Astyanax mexicanus: one gene and its partner. The protein of the gene in region 2 interacts with the protein of the main gene of each other region in a pairwise test. Links are inferred from orthologs where the notes say so. Each region holds a gene or a part of one and is shown on either strand. Other genes may lie near its edges. The genes, in order: pstpip1a and tyrosine-protein phosphatase non-receptor type 12.

Region 1 (9,315 bases), on a different chromosome or scaffold from region 2:
CAAGCACTAAGATTAGCTAGCTCAATGCTAGTTTTACTTCTCTCCCTGGTGCCATTAGTATTTCAGCTAGTTTGTCTCTAAAGTTAGCTAGCTCATCACTAAAGTTAGCTAGCTCATCACTAGCTTTAGTTCTCTCCCCAATAACGTTAGTGTGTTAACTAGCTTGTTGATAAGGTCAGTGCTCTCCCCAATAACATTAGTATGTTAGCTAGTTCGCTGCTGACATTAGTTATTGCTAATTTGGAAAAAAAATGTCCTGGTCCCTGATGTCTCTGTCATCGAAATGAGGCAGAATTTACCACTATAATGCGCACCCTATTATAAGGCACACTATCGTCTATTTTCTGATCTATTTTCATACATACGGTGCACATTAAGCAAAGTAAAAGCCAGATAAGCCTTACTCTGCGAGGCAAATAATGCCTGCATTTTAAAAGACTAAAAATTAATAACACAATAATAATGAAACACTAGTTTCTGGACTTCCATAGTTATATAGTGAGTTTCACTAGGCGCTATATCAGAAAGTTTAAGTGTTATGTTCTGTAACTCTTAATGTAGATTAAGTTCTGGACCGCTGAACATCTCAACCGAGGTGCCGGGCTGTTTTCACATGTTATGCAGTCATTTTTAGGCTATGCCATATTTTACCCTCTGAGGGAAACAGATAAGATTGAGTGTTATGTTCTGTAACCGCTAGTGTAGACTAAGTTCTGGACCGCTGAACACCCCGGTATCAGGCTGTTCTCACATGTTACGCCGTATCGTTGTGTAGCTTTAATGCCCATATCTCCTATCACTGAACTATTTACCCAAACCTGGTTTTGTTAGACAGAACCTAATCTTAGAATATGTGCTACTGATAATGGCTAACTGTTTATTTCCACCTAGTTGGTGTTCATAAATTGGAGTTAGATTAGTCTATTTTAGTATCTCACCTAAGTCTCATATAAAATACTGGAAAGACGGAATACGCATTAGGGGGAAAAGGCATAGGCCTGTTGTCTCCTCCCATACAACTCCAAAGGGTGATGTGGATCAGCACAAGACTGCATCTGTGAGCTGATGTATCAGAACCGAGTCGCTGTGCTTTCCGTGTCGAGCGTTAGTGCTATGATGCTACTCAGCAATGCTGCATCAGTAGCAGTTCAAAAATAGGTGGAGTCTGACTTCACATGTCACCTATTGTGTGGGTTGCGTAATAGGCCTTATAAACTGGGGAGAAAATCTGATAAAACATTTTAAAATATGTTTATTAACTATTTGTCAATGCAATAGCACAGAGTCTCTTACCTTAAGTAACTTAAATAAGGGACACGATTAATAATTCAGTAGTAAATAATTTCAATCAGAAATATATGTTTAGATTAGATTTAAGATGATTCACTTTAAACAGTTACTCTGTGATCTTAAAACTGTCCTGATCTTCAGAACACACTAGTACAAGAGTGTGTGTGAGAACACACCGCATTTTGAGGAAATTACCAATCTATGAGAGGAATAGGGAAACTTGCGTTGGTTTATGTGTGTGTGTGTGTGTGTGTGGGGTTTTAAAAATATTAATGAGGAATAGATGTGGGACTTTTGAGCACTGACCCCACCACACACACAAAAACCACACACACACACACACACACACACACACACAGGCACGGAAATGCACACCGATTTAAATTGACTTTGAATGCTTCTTCCTCTTCCTGCTCTCTCGCTCTTTCGCTCTCTCACTCTCTCAGTGCCACTTATAGACGTGTAATTTCCTGACTGATCTTCTGGTTCAGCAGCACATCTTTCTGAGTGTGAAAAGTGAGGCGGGTAGTATCTGCCCCTGCCCCTCGGGTCGTGCTTTTGTGATTTATCTGAAAGTCTGAGACTCACCTCTATCGTCTTCTTGTACTGAGAGACTTTGGTCTTATGAACCTTCTCCATGATTCCCTCAAACTGCAATAGAGAAAGGTTCATAATCAGAGCCCTGCCAGGCCTCAGTGTGGGCTGGTGAGACAGATAGAGGATGAAGGTCAGGATAAAACCCACTGTGTCTTTCTGCACGGACGCACCTTTTTCCGCTGCTCTTTCTGACGTTCTCTGAACTGCTCCATGCGCTTGACTTCTTCTTTTAACATCCCCGAGAGGTGGATGTGCAAGTTTCCGATGTTCTCGATTTCTGTTTGTAAATTAAACATCAGTGTCTGTGGTCCAGTTTAAGTGCATAAATTATAACTGATAAAACCAGCGGGACGTGCCGCCCTGCCACTTACGTGCTTTGAGTTGGTCAAACGAAGCCTTTAAAGTGCTGCAAGAAGAAATGAGGAACGTGTTACTAATATGGATGTGTCTCACATCCACATTCTTTCTGCTTATGTCCTAAGCCTGATTCTCAGTAGTGTGGATTAGTACCTTGTCAGGAGTGGAGCACTCTGTGCGGAGGAGTTAAAAGTTAACCACTTACCCTATTTCACTTTGGCCTCCAGCCTTTCGTGCAATAGCCACTAGCTCTTTGCCATACTTCTCTTCTGCCATCGCCCTGCAAAGAGCAGAAGCCCCTTCTCATCACATCATCACGTCTAAATGAGCTTCAAATCTTATTCAAATGGAAAGTAAATCAATTTAAAAGATCACCTCATCTTCAAGAGCTCCTCCATGTCTTTGCAGGCCCGCCGGCCATCGTAGAGCCTCTGGGTGAGGGCCTCGTACCCGGCGTTGCTAACAAAGTCTGGGCCCTAAGTGCCAGTGGAGGAAGTGTTATCTCTTCACCATCCAGATAAAGTGTTTTTCTCAGCTCATATAACCATAAATTATTTTTAATTAATAAGTTCACATTTAGAGGAAATTATAATCAGGAAAGGCTTGTTTAAACCAACACAGCAACAACGTGGTGTATTTCAGGCTAATTCACATCACAAGATCATCTTTCCATACTACTACCAGTGCGTCATGTCATGTTACTCATCCTGAATTCTGGAATTAAACCGTTGGTGGCTCAGCTCACAAATAGAATGCCACGTCTAGATTCTAGCTGTTCCACACATGCGGGATGATCTCGTTTAGACTCTTTACAGCCACACTTCTGTCCTATAAATCTAAAACTTTAGCAGAAGCAGATCCAGAATGTACTTTTTTAATCATGGGAACAGCTCGACCTCTGGAAGTGCATCAGGTAAAACAGGTTTATGAGGCGAGAGCTAGGATGCAAATGAACCCAGAAACGTTCCGTGCTGCTTTGAAGATTTGTTGTTTTATATATATGTATACATATATCGCTGAAGATCAAAGCCACATGTGTCATGCAGTTCCAGGGGAGAACAATTCTTGAAGAGAATCCGCAAAAAGAGTGGAAGTGGTTTACCCTGACAATGCCGACCTGATTACCGATCCCCCCCACGCTCTAAAAACTACAGAAACACCCATTACCTCCTGGCAGGGAACGCTATTCTCTGACCATTAAACTACGAGATATCTGCTTTAGTGTTTTATTTAGAATGGACAGTAAGAGTGGATTGTGTAGAATATATTATATAGATACATACATACATACATAAAAGAGGGGAGTATATACTTCTACCATACTTCTACACACAACGTAGAAGGTACTGCACTGTCCTGTCTTTAAATTGTCTCGTCTTTTGTATTTATTGTATTTATTGTTATTTAGTGTTATAATTTTATAATTTTATGTTGCACTGTCGTCACTCCTGCACTTTATGTTGTCTATTGCTTGTGGTTCTATGTTGCACCATGGTTCCGGAGGAACGTAATTTCATCACACTGTGTACCTGTACTCAGACGTAATGACAATAAAAGCCTCTTGACTTGACTTGACTTGACAACTCTCAGACTACCATTCTGCCAGTTTATGACAACACTCTACAGCCTAGAACGTGGAACATCCTTCTTTAAAACTGTACAAGAAACACAAGATGAACGTTACAGTTCAAAAAGGAACATTCATATCCAGATATACACCTGCCACACATGGACTTCAGCTGAAACATCAAACTTCTAAAACATCTTAACACATGATTACTTACCCAGAACGCATCTTTAAACTGTAACGGTGTCATCTCAGCCTCTGTAGCTCTGTTTACTCCAGCGCAAACTCCAGCGAAATGCAGTGAGTAAGTCAAATTTTCAGTTAAAAAAGGAACAACAGCAGTACACACAGGAAACCCAAGACCTCACAGCAGTTCACTTGTGCTGCCTGTGTTCGACTAGGATGAGGAAGAGCTTCTGCATTATGTCACTGACCACAGGCGCCCTGTAGATAACAGCCTGTTTTAGTCACCGTTCAAACGCTGGACATAATGAACCTCCTGAAATAGAAGATGCTAAATTGAACAGAAGGTTACACTATACAGTGAAGTAAATAATTATTGAATCTCTTGCTGATTTGAAGTTTCCAAACTGTAAAAGACATGAACAGTCTATAATTTTAAGGGAAGGTTAATTTTAACCGTGAGAAATAGAATATCAAAAATAAAATCCAAAAAAATATCAAATTGTATAAATTATATCAATTGATTTGCATTTTGCAGAGAGAAATAATAATTCAGTCTAGGGCTGCAGCTATTGATTATTTTAGTAATCAAGTACTGTACTGAAAAATCAATTTGATTTATTGAGAAATTGGATAAGACATATTTGTTTGCTTAAAGAGTAATTAAAAATACTCAAGAAAACAAGACATTTTACTTAATAATAAATGACCAATTGATTTCCTTTTTTAAAGTTATATTTTTAACTTCACAGCATACATTTCAAACAGCAAACACAAATAGAAATAAATAAAGAAATAATAATTATTTTTATAATTAGTACTTTAAAACAATTAAGTTAAATTTTTTTCAACAAGGATTTCTTGTAAGTATCAAAACTATAGGGAATAATCAATAAAAAGGCATAAACGTTTGCATTATGTTGTGTGTCTTAGCTTCTGAACAGCAGAGATGTCGCCAGTCCGTCTCACAGAGCCGGTATCATGTATTTATTTATAAACTCCTCAGGCTGAGTCGGTGCAGCATTAAAGTGTGTTGTTGTGGGAGACAAGAGCGAATACACGCTGTTCAGCCTAAATGCTCCATTATTATAGTCGTTTTTGCCTCGTAAGTTGTCGCTCTTTTCCCTCGCTGCTTTAAAACACTCTCTTCTCAACTAAAACCTCCGCCGCCTACTCCTTCTTCCTGTGCGCGGATGGCGTACCGCTAAGCACGTTGTCACATTAAAAGTGTGAATTAGTTGTAAGAAAATGAAAGAAATACAAAATGACTATCAATCAACATCAATCTGGGGTTCCATGCAAACTCTCACCTCGTGGAGTATACTTGATCATGAGGAAGGTGAAAGATCAGCCTAAAACTACACAAGGGGAAGTTCTTAATGATCTCAAGGCAGCTGGGACCCCAGTCACCAAGAAAACCTTTTGGTAAGACATTATGCTGTAATGGATTAAAGTTCTGCAGTGCTGCAAGGTCCTCCTGTCGAAGAAGGAACATGTGCAGAACCGTCTTTAGTTAGCCAATAAATACCTGGAGGATTCTGAGAGTGATTGGGAGAAGGTTCTGTGGTCAGATGGGACAAAAATCGAGCTTTTGGCCTACGGCCGCATGCCTACGACTGCAGCACAGTAGTGCCAATATTACACATTATAGCACTCCATCTCATGTATTATTGCTGATGTATAATTATGTTTAGTATGTCACTGAAACTTTTTTTAAGGGTAGCAGTGTGGCTGTGCTACGTACGGACATGGATAGTGTGAAACAAAAACTGAAATGGAGCATGGCCGCTCCACATGCTCAGATGATATCACTACTCTGCAAACAACCGTGCACAGGCTTAGCAAACATGTAGCTGCTCTGCGGGAGAAACGAGTCGACCTGAAGGGACGAATGAGGAGCACGAATATTCTAACTCTGAATGTGGAGGAGATGTCTGGATCGAGTTTTACCACCGTCTGCAACCGAGGCAGCAGGGGGGGCAAGCCTTGTGCTATTGTGGCCAAACTTCACTATTATCAGGACTGTGTGGACACTCTTCTGAGCAGGAAGGCCAGGTCTCTGTAGTATAATGACATTTTCATTCCCCGATTGCCCACCCAGTGTAGCCTGCGCCAGTTCAGCATTTAACAATGTTAAAAACATCCTCCGCAGGCAGAAAAATACTCGTTTCTGCATTTTTTATCCAGCCAGGCATGCATATGCATAAAAAACATGATGGGACTGAAAAAGTCCCAAAATATGGAGGCAGAAAAGTGACATAAGCATAAATAAATAAATGGAAGTATAAATGAATAAATAAATATATAAATACATAATTGTATAGATAAATACATTAAAAGTACACACTTAAAATATTTCCATGCATAAACCTTTATTTAGGGCTGTTTCTGCATTTATTTATATATTTATTGATAAATATATTGCTACATTTATTTACTTCCATGACCCTCATTATCTGATGATATTTAAACTCCTTCTGTTAGGTTTATAAAGGGTAAAGGATGGTTTAGTTCAGATCAGTAAACAAACTCATTAACTGATCTGGTGTGAAAACACCCTAAAAGAGGGGTACGTGTCTAGTTGCATCCATGCACAAAGCCAAAGCATGCGTGCGTTTCTCTAATTCTCAGACAACAGAATTCTTAAATCTGCTATATTAATCTGTAAGAAATTGTGGTTGCCTTTGCTGAAGTGAAAGTTCACAAACAGCAGTTGTAGATATTTGGCACATAAAGGCCTAATTCTTATATGTGTGTACTCTTATTTATGTTGGATTTAAAATTTATGTTAAATATAAGTTGTGTGCTTTTTTTTGTATAGGACGGGAGTGTTTGTTACGCCCCTGAGAGAGGGGATAGTGGAAAATACCAAATTTAATGAACACAGGACACACTGATGAGTGTTCAAAGCAGCATAACTTTAGTATGATGCAATCTCAGCATGTGCTCTCTGTTCCCCTCACTCAGTCCAAACTAGACACGCCCCTAGCACAGGCTCAACCAACTGGTGTACACAGTAATAACCCAATAACTTGAAATACAGTGACTAGTAATAATATCAAAACAACACAGAACTATTTTCCTTTTTCTCTATATATTTTCTTTTCTTTTTTACATATATATATTTATATAGATATTTTTTATCTCCCTTTTTTCAGTATATCACACACTCCCCACCAATATAGATGTCGTCCCGACATCACAAAGAATGTGTTTGCACATTACATTTTTTTTCAACCATTTTTTTGTATATAGCCAACAGTCAAACTCCTTTCTGTTCTTTTAGGTAAGTCTCTACTGCAGAAAGGAAATGTATTTCTATTTATCAGTGTCCACTAACATGAACAGTGTCTTCTTTTTCCTTTTTTTTTCCATTCTGCAAATTTGTGTGCTCTGCTTTTTCACAGTCCATGCGTGTTGCAAGCATATGTGCGCATGTGAGAGGGAAAGTCTGTTTATCTTATGTTCATGTCCATTGGGTAAGTGTACTCAACTGCTCTGTCTATCCACAGTCCATGAGTGTTGTGAGCATAGGTGTGTGTGTGTGTGTGTGGAAGTCCTTTTAGTTCATGTCCATATTCATCAGGTACTCTGCTTATCCACAGTCCATAAGTGTTGTGAGCAGGGGTGTATGTGTCAGTTCAGTTTCTTTTTAGTTTGTGTCCATCGTATGTGTACATGACCAATCTGTTTTATCACAGTTCATGGTATGTTTCAAATGTATAAGTGTGAAAGTTCTTTCAGGTGTTGTCCATCCCTAGTAGGTATATGTAAACAACTCTGTTCACAGTCTATGAATGTTGTGAACATATTTGTATGCGTGAAAGAACAGAGGTGAACAGTCCATCAACATTCCCAGGATGTCTTTTACTCAGTTCCTATGCAAATGCATTGAACAGTAATGCCCAGGGGGAAAGTAAAATTGTGTAGGGTCCATCCATGTTTGTCTTGTATGTTCCACATCCCAAGGCCAAGGAAAATGCCTGTGAGTGTCACTTTCTGAAAGAGAAGCTAGATAGCATACTGGGGTACCAAGCTGGTCATAGGTGAATAACTTTGGTGCTCGCTTCTCTCTGTTGGGTCGTTGATACTTGTACTTTGCCTTCGTTTCATCATCAATGCTGTCAGCAGCAGTACACGGAGGGAGTGATTCGCTTCTCTCAAAGAAATTATCCTGTTCAACTGTTTGTCTCCCTTGAGCAGACATCTCTGGCTGAATGTCCTGATCCAGAGCACAGTTCCTATCGTGGGCCTCACTTTGCTGGGGCACATTTTCCAATCCAAGAACTTGATTCTCAGTTTGTACAGCTGGCTCTTGAGCTTTTGTCTGAATATCACGTCCAGTGTTGCAACTGTATTGAGGCTGTGGCACAGTTATGCAGTGGTATTCATAGTCATCCTCATCACTGTCAGTCCCTGCTTGAATGTTCTCTTCTCTTTCTGGGTTTTTTTTCGTTCTCTTCTTTGTTTTTTTGAGTTTGCCGTCTTGAGTTGGACCTCTAGTGGTAAGTAATCCGGTGTAGGATTCTGCTTCCTCTTCCTAGCTCCGGAACAACTTCATAGATGGGAATATCTTTATTTACTTGCCATACAACTTTGTGAATTTGTTCCTCCCAATGATTTCGAAGTTTGCCTGTCCCACCTCGGGGTGTCATGTTTCTCACAAGAACACGATCGCCTTCTTGCAACACAGAACTCCTGACTTTCTTATTGTAATTCCGGTTTCCTCTTTCGGCAGACTTCTTGGCGTTCTCTCTTGAAATCTCATATGCCTCCTGCATTCCAGATTTCCATTGCTTTACATATTCCTGATGATCACCTGTTCCACTCTCTGGAGTTAGGCGGAACAAAAGATCAACTGGCAGTCTCGGAGGCCGTCCATAAAGAAGATAAAAGGGAGAAAACCCAGTGACTTTGCTGCGAGTGCAGTTGTAAGCATAAATGAGCTTGTTTAGCGAATCCTTCCAATTGGATTTTTCTCTCTCAGTCAGTGTTTTCAACATCTGGAGGAGAGTTCTATTAAAATGCTCCACCTGACCATTCCCTTGGGGGTGGTACGGTGTACTTCTAGAGCCAATAACACCACAGTTTTTCTTCAACTGTGCGAAAAGTTGGTTTTCGAATTCACCTCCCTGGCCATGATGTATCCTCATGGGAAATCCGAACTTCAATGCATAGTCACCGAATATCTTGTCAGCTACAGTTTTAGCAGATTTTGATGTCGTAGCATATGCCTGAACAAAACGTGTGAAATGGTCAATTACTACCAGGATATACTCGTATCCACCTGAGCTTCTGTCTACATGAAGAAAATCTATTGA
Region 2 (9,315 bases):
TCTCAAAATAATAATTACAAATAAATACAAGTAAATACTGAACATGAAATTTGTACTCTACACTCTATTGCTCTAATGTTAAAGCCATGGCTATACTCACACCCTGCGGCTGAATCAGCAAACAAGGAGAATAACACAACAAAGCCAGACTGTTGTCGCACCCAAGCCCTCCACTGTCCAGCTGTCTGTGAATCAAAGCTGTCTCACTCCTTAAGAGGTCAGGACAGCGGGAAAGAAAAAGTGCTAAATGTATGAAGAGGGTGACACTGCTCTGTAAACCAGAGGGGGTCTATAGCATCGCTCAGTACAGACTAATAGCACTAATAAACTAATAACCCTGTACGACTCAGTTCCCTTCATGCTCAGAGGGACTATGAAGAGACTGCTGTAGAAGAAAGTGTGAAAACCCTCAAATAAAAATAAATTAAGTAGGCTCAGACACCCATTGCTGACACAGATGTGCAACGAAATTAACCTAGTCCCTTTAGAGAAGTAGAGAAGAGAAAATCAGTGGAGCAGTGTTCTCTAGAATAATGGTGCTCCATCCAGTAATTCTGGGATGTGTTTTTAGACATAGAGATGAGTTGGAGTGGCAATTCTGATCTCGTCACTGAATGCAACCAAATCCACACAGCTGTGCTCCAAAATTAAATAGAAAATCTTTTGTTACTCCAACAAAACAGTATACTCTTTTTAATAAACAATAAATGAGCAAGTGATCCAATACTTATTTCCATATACAGTAGTTTACTTCTCTCACTAACTCCTAAAGAATTTGTATCATTAAAACCTGAAATGTGCTCTTTATGGTAAAAGATGTATATTCAGGAAAAAATATGAAACGTACCAATCATTTTTCAGTAAAAAGAAGTCAAAATATGCAAACTTGGTCTTTTTACATAAGGACCTTTCATATAGAGCTAAGAAATGCAGCTAACATAAGAAGCAAATTACAGGATGCAACTAATGCATCCTTAGCCTTCGGTTATCCACAATTCTCTGGACATGAACCATGTAAAGAAATAAACAGAACCATGAAAACTGTGCAGAAATGGACGACACAAAGCCCCAAATTAATGAGGGATGTTGTGTAAATGTAATACCTGTTTTCAGTACAAAACCCCATATTAGAGTTGAAGTTATTAGAAGTTATAAATGGAAAATGTAAGATAAGAGTTCATCTAATGGCATCACTAAATGATTTTAAAAAGGCATCGCGGTCACTAAATAACCCACCCACCTCCCACTGCAAAATACTGCCCAGCTGCAACTGTGGAAAGCACATATTTATGGACTTTTTAAACAAACTATAAATACAGAAAGGAAGGCAACATAGTATAGTATGTGCAACAGCAACCTACAGGAAGTTACATTAAGTCAAATTTCACCAACAGATTCTTCCCCAAATGTACATTACAGGTCAGCATGTTAACTTCTCAAAAGAGAAAAACAGAGGCCTAACACACTTTCATATATCTGTTGACAACAGCAGCAATACCTTCGTAGGATACAGTAATCAGGACTATCTTGGTATTCTACAGGTTTCTGTATTTTGAATCAAGCAAATCTTAACAAAAAGACAATAATTTGGCTGGACAATAATTTATAATAATTTAACTTACTGCTCTGCAAAAAAATTAAGAGGCCACTTCAGTTTCTAAATCATTTTTTTCTAATTTTGCTAAATATAGGTATATGTCTGAGTAAAATGAATATTGTTGTTTTATTCTATAAACTAAAGACAACATTTCTCCCAAATTCCAAATATAAATATTGTTAGAGCATTTATTTGCGAAAAATGAGAAAAGAATGCAGTGTTTTCAGACCTCAAATAATGCAAAGAAAACAAGTAAGAGTTCTGAAATCAATATTTGGTGAAATAACCCGAACCTTAACCACAGTTTTCATTCATCCCAGGATGTTCTCCTCCACCAGTCTTACACACTGTTTTTGAATAACTTTATGCCACTCCAGGTGCAAAAATGCATGCAGTTCAGCTTGGTTGGATGGCTTGTGGTCATCCATCTTCCTCTTGATTATATTCAGGAGGTTTTCAATAAAAATCAAAGAAACACATCATTTTAAGTGGTCTCTTTTTGTATATACCACAATAAAAATATGTTAAAATTATATATTTTTGATTATAAAAAAGTGTTTACTGTCTAATGCAGTCCTAATAGGTTCTGGGTCCCTGATTGGACCCTAAGCCATTCTACAGTCATGTCATAGCTATTATATACCAATGTCCCAGTCATCATGCTTATTCTAAATGGGTCCCAGCATTATAGCCCACCTTAAGCTTGTGTGTGCAGTGCATCTCCCAAATGGGGCCCATGTGTAACCATTCATGGTCCAATCAGTCATCCATATGTGGGACCCACATGGACAAGACCATGGTCAAACTGTCTGGATCCCAGCTGGGATATCCCTATATTCCCCACATTAGTTATTATGACTTGTGTGACTACAGTCACAGTCTACAGTCATGATTATTACGCTAGTTGATTAGTACAGGCATTTAAAGTAGGGATTTGCTATATTGTATGGTACGCAATAATATTGCCAATATTATCACATCAGGGTACTACTTTTTTGCTGTTTTTAGCAAAAGAAAAATTCACACTGTTCTCATTTACCATTATATATCTACTATAGACAGATTATATCTGTCCAGTATAATTTATTTTACTTCAGTTTTGGATATGTGGAGATATTTGTAGTGCATTATTAGTATCACAACATTCTGAATCATTGATTTTCATTTTGTTGCAGTAGTGTATTCTTGAAATAATTTTGTAATTCGGTGTTTTGCCATGTTGCCAAAAGTGTCGTTATCGCGAAAATACTAAGAAATATCGTGATATTGTTTAAGGGCCATATCGTCCATACTTAAAGCAATTAAAACAAATGCCTTCCAACGTGACACACGTGTATAATGTTTCGGCTATCCCTGATGTTGACGTTATATTCTGGAATCAATAGTTTATCGTGTTTATTTCAGTGGTTTTCAGGGTTTTTTTTTCAGTGTTGGACTGAGTGAGAAACCCTCCTCTTCCTCTCTGTGCTTAAACGGCTCAGCTCCTTGCGCAACATCCGCGGAACTCCCTCATACCACCGCCGCCACCACCACGCTGGACCCCCATAAACCGCCCGTTTAGCTAACTAACTATCCCATTAACGTGTCCATATCTTCCGGAAAATACACATACGTGCTGACTTCTTTATAGAAGCTGTCTTCTGTTTTTTTTAAACAGAGCAGAAACAAGCCCGAGCCGCCCGCTGCTTCCCAGCGAACAGCGCTGGTTTTGGACAAAGACGCTGTTAACGTTAGCGGCTGCTGCTGCTAGCTTAGCTGTGTCCAAATGTTAGCCAGCAAACAAAAGTCTGTAACCGGGATTTTCACAGTGCAAATAAACCCTAAACATCAGAGATTTAGCTGGCAGTTTATACAGAAGGCAGACTAACATTTTAGCCAGACATTTAAACATGTTCTCTCCACAGTGTTGACAGTCAGTATTCACCTACATGACCCGCCCTGAACACGCCGAGAGAGAGAGTAGAGCAGTGTGGCAAAAAGAAGGCGTTCTAGACGTGAAAAGTGACAAGCGGGATAACTACCTATTCCCAGTCCTAACCCATCTTATAACCGTAAATTCAGAATATATGTAGTGCAGTTTCTTAATACCAGAAGCTCTCCATTCAGATATAGGTTAGTTAACTAGCTATCAGCTGTAAATATTCACTAGTATTAATATTAGAGGCTTTCACAGTGGCGTGTAACCATAGGTTACTACCTAACTAGCTTTATGTCTAATGTTTGGGAAAATACAGTAACTTACACATATAGCTAACTAGTTAGCTAACTACCCAACCTAGCTGTTAGCTAGCTAGGTTACAAATTTGTCGTACACGTTAAAGAGACGTTTTAAATAAAAGCTAACTAAATAACCCAGCTGGTATGTAGTTAAGAAAGGGATGTGACCCAACAGCACACTCACACTCATGTAGAAATCTCTCCCTCTGACCACATTTAGCTAGCTGCGGCTAACCGTCAGGAGAGAAACATCAATAAGGGTTTTTAACTACAAGTCGCAGCCTGTAAATTAAACCGTTCATAGAGGAACATTTACAGGGCTTTTACAGAAAAAGCTATGTTAAGTTAACTCTACAGCAGCTAAGTCGGCGTAGGCCGCAGCCGGTGTTCTGTCGAGCTGTGCTACCTTGTCAAACCGTGCTGCCCTGGTGTGTATATTTAACTGTAAAAATATAAAAGAAGCACCTTATTACAGCATGTTCTCAGTAAAAGTCCCAGTAGACATAGCTAGCTAGTATATATGGATAGCATAAATCACTATTATGGCAATGAGGGGTTATTAGAAACTGCTTTTGTTTATATAAATATATATATTTTTTTATAATAATAATTATAAGCTATTGAATAAATTATATTCGCTTCCATTTACACGTTTGTGTAATGACAGTGAGTCCAGGTTGTTTAATGCACAAAAAATGATTTATTATTTAAAAACGCGAGAAATAATGAAAAGGTGTAGGTCAGCGCATGCGCATTGCCTTTAGGAAGCACGTATCGATGGGTAGCATAACTGGACATAACACCGCGGAGCCTTCTAACTAACCCTAGCTAACTACAGGTCAGTACAGACTGTACAAAGCTTCAGCGCAGGGAACAGTAGTCTGGAGTGGGAGAGAGAGAGAGAAAAGGGGGCACTGTAAAAGCAGCTTCACACTGGTGGAGGACTGTTAGCTAAGCTAACCAGTTAACTAACTAGTTACCTAGGTAACTAACTAACTATTAAACCAGCAGAGACAGAGTGCGATCGTGTGTGTTAATTATGTATTAACTAGGTTATTTATTGTGTTAGTGTGGCTGGTCTCGGTCTCTCCTCTTGTTCCTCCTCTTTCTTCTTACCATGAAGTCGCTGCCGAAGTTGTCCTCTCCTCCCTGGTCCCCTGTTCGCATGGCCTGAACCCCCTGAATGAACTTCCTCAGGATATTCGCCTGCTCCATCCTCAACTCCGGTCCCTGAGCGCTGCTGCTCCCACGGTTAGTTAGATACGTTAACTACTCCCGAATACGAAAAAAATATAGAAAAATAAATTAAATAAATATCTTAAAGAAGAAAAATCTTCTCTGACAGTTATTCCAACATCTTCTACCGCTCCATGCTCCCCTGTGCTCCCGGATGAGAGAAAACAACATGTAATCCAAGCGGGTGAGCTAAGCTACAGTCTTAGGGTGTAGGTAACAATGTCCCCACTCCTCCTTTAACGCACCAAGCAGTTAATATTAATACTTTTTAAATGTATCTAAATAAAAAAACAACAAACAAAACGCCGGTTCGCCCCTCCCTGTCTCCTCACTGCCACATTAACAACTAAACTCTGAAACAAAACTGGCTGGACCGCCCAAAAGCCGCTCGGACACGTTGCCACCCTCTAGTGGGAAGGACGCTCCGTGATTGGATTGTGACCCACGGCAGCTTGCGCCTGATTGGACAGCCCCGGTGTCAATCAAACTAACGCGAACGCTTCGAGTCGCTGGCTGTAAAAGAGAAGGCTGGTGGTCACGTGCTCAGTTGAGTAAGTTTACCATTGGTTGAAAGCCCGTAAGCCCCTCCCACGCAGATTCCAGTCGCGTTTCGCTCGGGTCCGCCCACCGCTAGGGTGACGTGTGGATAATCGAGAAACAGAAAAATGTGTGTGTCTGTGTAGAACAGGAATGTCGATTCCCAGAACCAGGTCGTGTTTACAGTATTAACACCATTGATCTGTCAGATATAACGGGGCTTGTTCTGCCTTTTACTTGTGTCTGAGTGAGCTGAGGGAGCTGTTCAGTGTTCAGAACAGCACTGTCTTCAGGCTAATTCTCACAGAGAGGAGGAGGGAGCATTTCACAAAGCAGGGTTTAAGATTGTTTAGCTCAGGGGTGTCACACGGTACACAACAGTGCGGTTCAGTAGGAGTTCGGGGAGTTTTACTAACTCAACATGATCAAAACTTGGTTTATTTATGTGTATTATGTACCTCTTTTTTCAGGCACCAAATAGTTTAAGCTAAGCTGGGCTAAATACATACAATACATACAGCAGACAAACCTAGTTGCAAAAAATATTTTCACGTAGGTTCCCCCGGACCTGGACTTGGACACCCCCTTCCCCCCTTGTGATATATATCACATTAACTCACTTCAACATGCCTTTTGCAATTATTTAGTCCCCCGAGAGTATTGCTAAAATCACTATTACTATTATCTGTACAGCAGGCAAGACTTTTATTGTTTTTTACTTTTACCAAACATGGATATACTTTAGAGTAGTCAGAGGTGAAATGAGTTTTGATGGGAGCCATAATGATCCTGAACACGCCAACACTAAAAAACGATTGGCCAATCAGAACACTCTATGTTTTGCATGCGCTTCATAAATATTCACACAAGGGGAACACCTTTCTCTGCCTCTATTTCACATACGCAATCTTTTTTTAAACTTCATTTGTAAACATTAAATTGTTATATAATATGCATATACATATATCATTTATTTAAAGACATTAAACATTAAACAAGGTCAAATTGACCCCAAAGATAATGAAGGACTAATGCAGGTAGGTCATTTCAGCTACTTTCATGCCAAAACACCCTCCCTGTATTAACTTTTAATTCATATGTTATTCTCTTTATAATAAAAAAAGCATGATGACCCTTGTCTGTTCTGTACTTGTCTTTAGAATTGACACTCTGTGTTGTTTTTGTAGCATATTACATTGAATAAACATTCTTTTAAAGTTGATGATGGAAAACAACCTTTATTTAGCATTGCCTAATAGGCATTAATAATTGAATCATTTCATTCATTTAAAGGTTTTTAATGTTAGGGTTCTCAATCTACACTCATGATGCTTTTAGGTGAAAGTTTCTACCCACAAATAACAATATTACTATTAATAATTATCATGTAAATGTTATTTCTACACTGCAAGACCACAGTACAGGCTATAAGAATAGAATACAAACAATCTTTTGTTGCTGACCAGTGAAAAACATCTTCAAAAAAGAATCTTCTTCACTTTCAATGGAAGTCAATGTAAAAAGAGTAAATTTCAGGTGATTTTGGAGAATATATATATAAAAAAAACAACTAGACCATTTAGAACTGTTGAATACAACTAGCTCTGCGTTATCACAAGGCTGTTTTATGTCCTATATGAAAGTCTATATTAATTCCAAAAAATATATTCAGAAATGGAGTCTGTACAGATAATTGTACATTGTGTACACATGCTATACATTTATTAGCACTCTTTGTATAAAATGTACAGCATAAAATACTGTATGTGAAAAGAGCTTGAAACTATGTGTTTTACAGGAAATGCTGCAGATGGTGTACAATAATGTATTTGTATTTTACACTATTCAGTGCTTTCAGTTCCTGTTAAGTAACTGCTAAGTAAAACTGATTTAATATACTTCTGTCTGATTAGACATACACAGCAAGTTTAACTAATCCTGTCGAACTCTGATGCACTGTTTTTATTATATACGCTAAATAAAGTTATTACACTATACATTATAGAAAAATCCTTTGCTTTTCTCCCATTCTAACGAAAATATTAACTCTCTAAAAGAGTCTCTGGCCTGGTTTTATAGGAAATGCAGTGAATTCAAAGCTCTGAAGTGAATCATCACCACACGAGAGCTAAATGGAACCTTATTCATCAGTAATTCCCCTCGGCCTCAGACGGCCAAGATCCCCTTAAGTAGAGCTGATGCTTAAACTGGACTCAATAAGGAACCAGAAACAGCGCTCCTGGTTCCCCTGGCTCCGTCAATGACAACAAAACGCCCCATTCAGGCTGGTTTGTGGGGGCACGCTGGACCCAAGCTGTCAAAGAGCCAGCTGCCCCTCCACAGTGTCGGGCAAAAGCACTGGGCTCTCACAGTACCAAAAGAGTGGGCATTAGAATTCAGACGGTGGACTATGAACACCTCAGACTCCAGACTTTGAGGAATTTCTCCTTTACACTTTTTTCTTTTTCTTTTTGTCCTCATTAATTCTGTTCACATAGTTTCTAGATTAACAGCAGTGACAAGTTACAGTATGTCAACTGTACCCACTGGCTGGGCTCAGACATTTGGTACAGTTTACCTGTAAAACCATGCAGGGGAACAATTACTGACAGCAATCCTCATCAACTCCACAATCAGTAGATGTGATTCAGTGCTCTTACATGTGCCATGTTGCTGATCTGGAAACCAGTTGTGTTACCAGAATCCAATACTTTGGTGGATTTATGAATATGCATGGACAGCTAGAACAAGGTGAAACACTGCACGATATACTGTATATGACCTTTAAGATACTGCATCTCATGTACCAATATTACACTAGAAGTGATTAGCCTACTATGAACTAGAACACTTAAAACTGGCCTTTGGTTGCTTAATTGGTAAATTATGGAGAGAAATTAGTGCCAAATTGGAAGATTACATTATATTTCACTGCACTTGATCTCTTTATTGAAAATTTACCATACGCAAAAAAATTGTGTCAGAATTGCAACCAAACCTTAATATGCAATCAGATTAATGCCATTGTATTTCACAGTGTGGCGCTGCAAATGTTCGAAAGCAAATCACAATGCACAGGATTGCATTTCGTCTAGGAGCAGCATGGTATTCATGCCAAAACATAATGTAATCACTGTCCCACTATCAGAACTATCAGAATCCACTACTGAAATTGGGGTGGGACTGAGAAACTGAGAGTGTTTATTTGCTCTTATATCCTGTCGCAAAAGACATTTTCTCTGGTTTAAAGTACAGCTATTAGTGCTCCCTTCTGACTGTTTTCCCAGCCCCACCCCAAGTTCAGTAGTGGGTTCTGATTGGACCATGATTACATTTCATTTTGGCACAAATTCTGCACTGCTCCAAGACAACAATCCTGTGCGTTGTGAGCTGGTTATGAAAATGTAAATTCTTGTGTATTGTTTTTTTTATAAAGAGATGCAGTAAAATGTAATGTAACAGAGGTTTTGCAGTTCATTTTGGTACGTATTCTGCATGTTAGTGAACTGCATTTACATTTTTCCATGATAGTGCTTGCTTTTTTAATTTGACACTAATAACTCTTAAAAGAAAATGACCCCTGAACCTTGTGTTTCCAATCTACTGGACTGTGTGATAACACCGGCCAGAAAATGTGTACAGTTACCTGTTCCCCACTGCCAATAATATTTAATGTACAAAATAAATCTGTATATAAATATTTAGATTGCAGTTAACTAAAAAATAAA

What was found.
Region 1: the proteins of tyrosine-protein phosphatase non-receptor type 12 (region 2) and pstpip1a interact in binary tests that used the Homo sapiens proteins (3 or more experiments, as listed by UniProt). The link is inferred for Astyanax mexicanus from reciprocal best matches to the Homo sapiens genes PTPN12 and PSTPIP1.

The regions. Positions count from the first base shown.
Region 1 is NW_026040047.1:1,866,416-1,875,730, reverse strand, and holds the start of pstpip1a (proline-serine-threonine phosphatase-interacting protein 1a), read right to left. Parts: upstream 4,527-9,315; 5' UTR 4,062-4,526; coding exon 4,029-4,061; intron 2,721-4,028; coding exon 2,620-2,720; intron 2,525-2,619; coding exon 2,450-2,524; intron 2,294-2,449; coding exon 2,259-2,293; intron 2,165-2,258; coding exon 2,058-2,164; intron 1,942-2,057; coding exon 1,879-1,941; intron 1-1,878. UniProt on the Homo sapiens protein: Involved in regulation of the actin cytoskeleton. May regulate WAS actin-bundling activity. Bridges the interaction between ABL1 and PTPN18 leading to ABL1 dephosphorylation.
Region 2 is NC_064409.1:36,016,189-36,025,503, reverse strand, and holds the start of tyrosine-protein phosphatase non-receptor type 12, read right to left. Parts: upstream 5,419-9,315; 5' UTR 5,030-5,418; coding exon 4,931-5,029; intron 1-4,930. UniProt on the Homo sapiens protein: Dephosphorylates a range of proteins, and thereby regulates cellular signaling cascades. Dephosphorylates cellular tyrosine kinases, such as ERBB2 and PTK2B/PYK2, and thereby regulates signaling via ERBB2 and PTK2B/PYK2.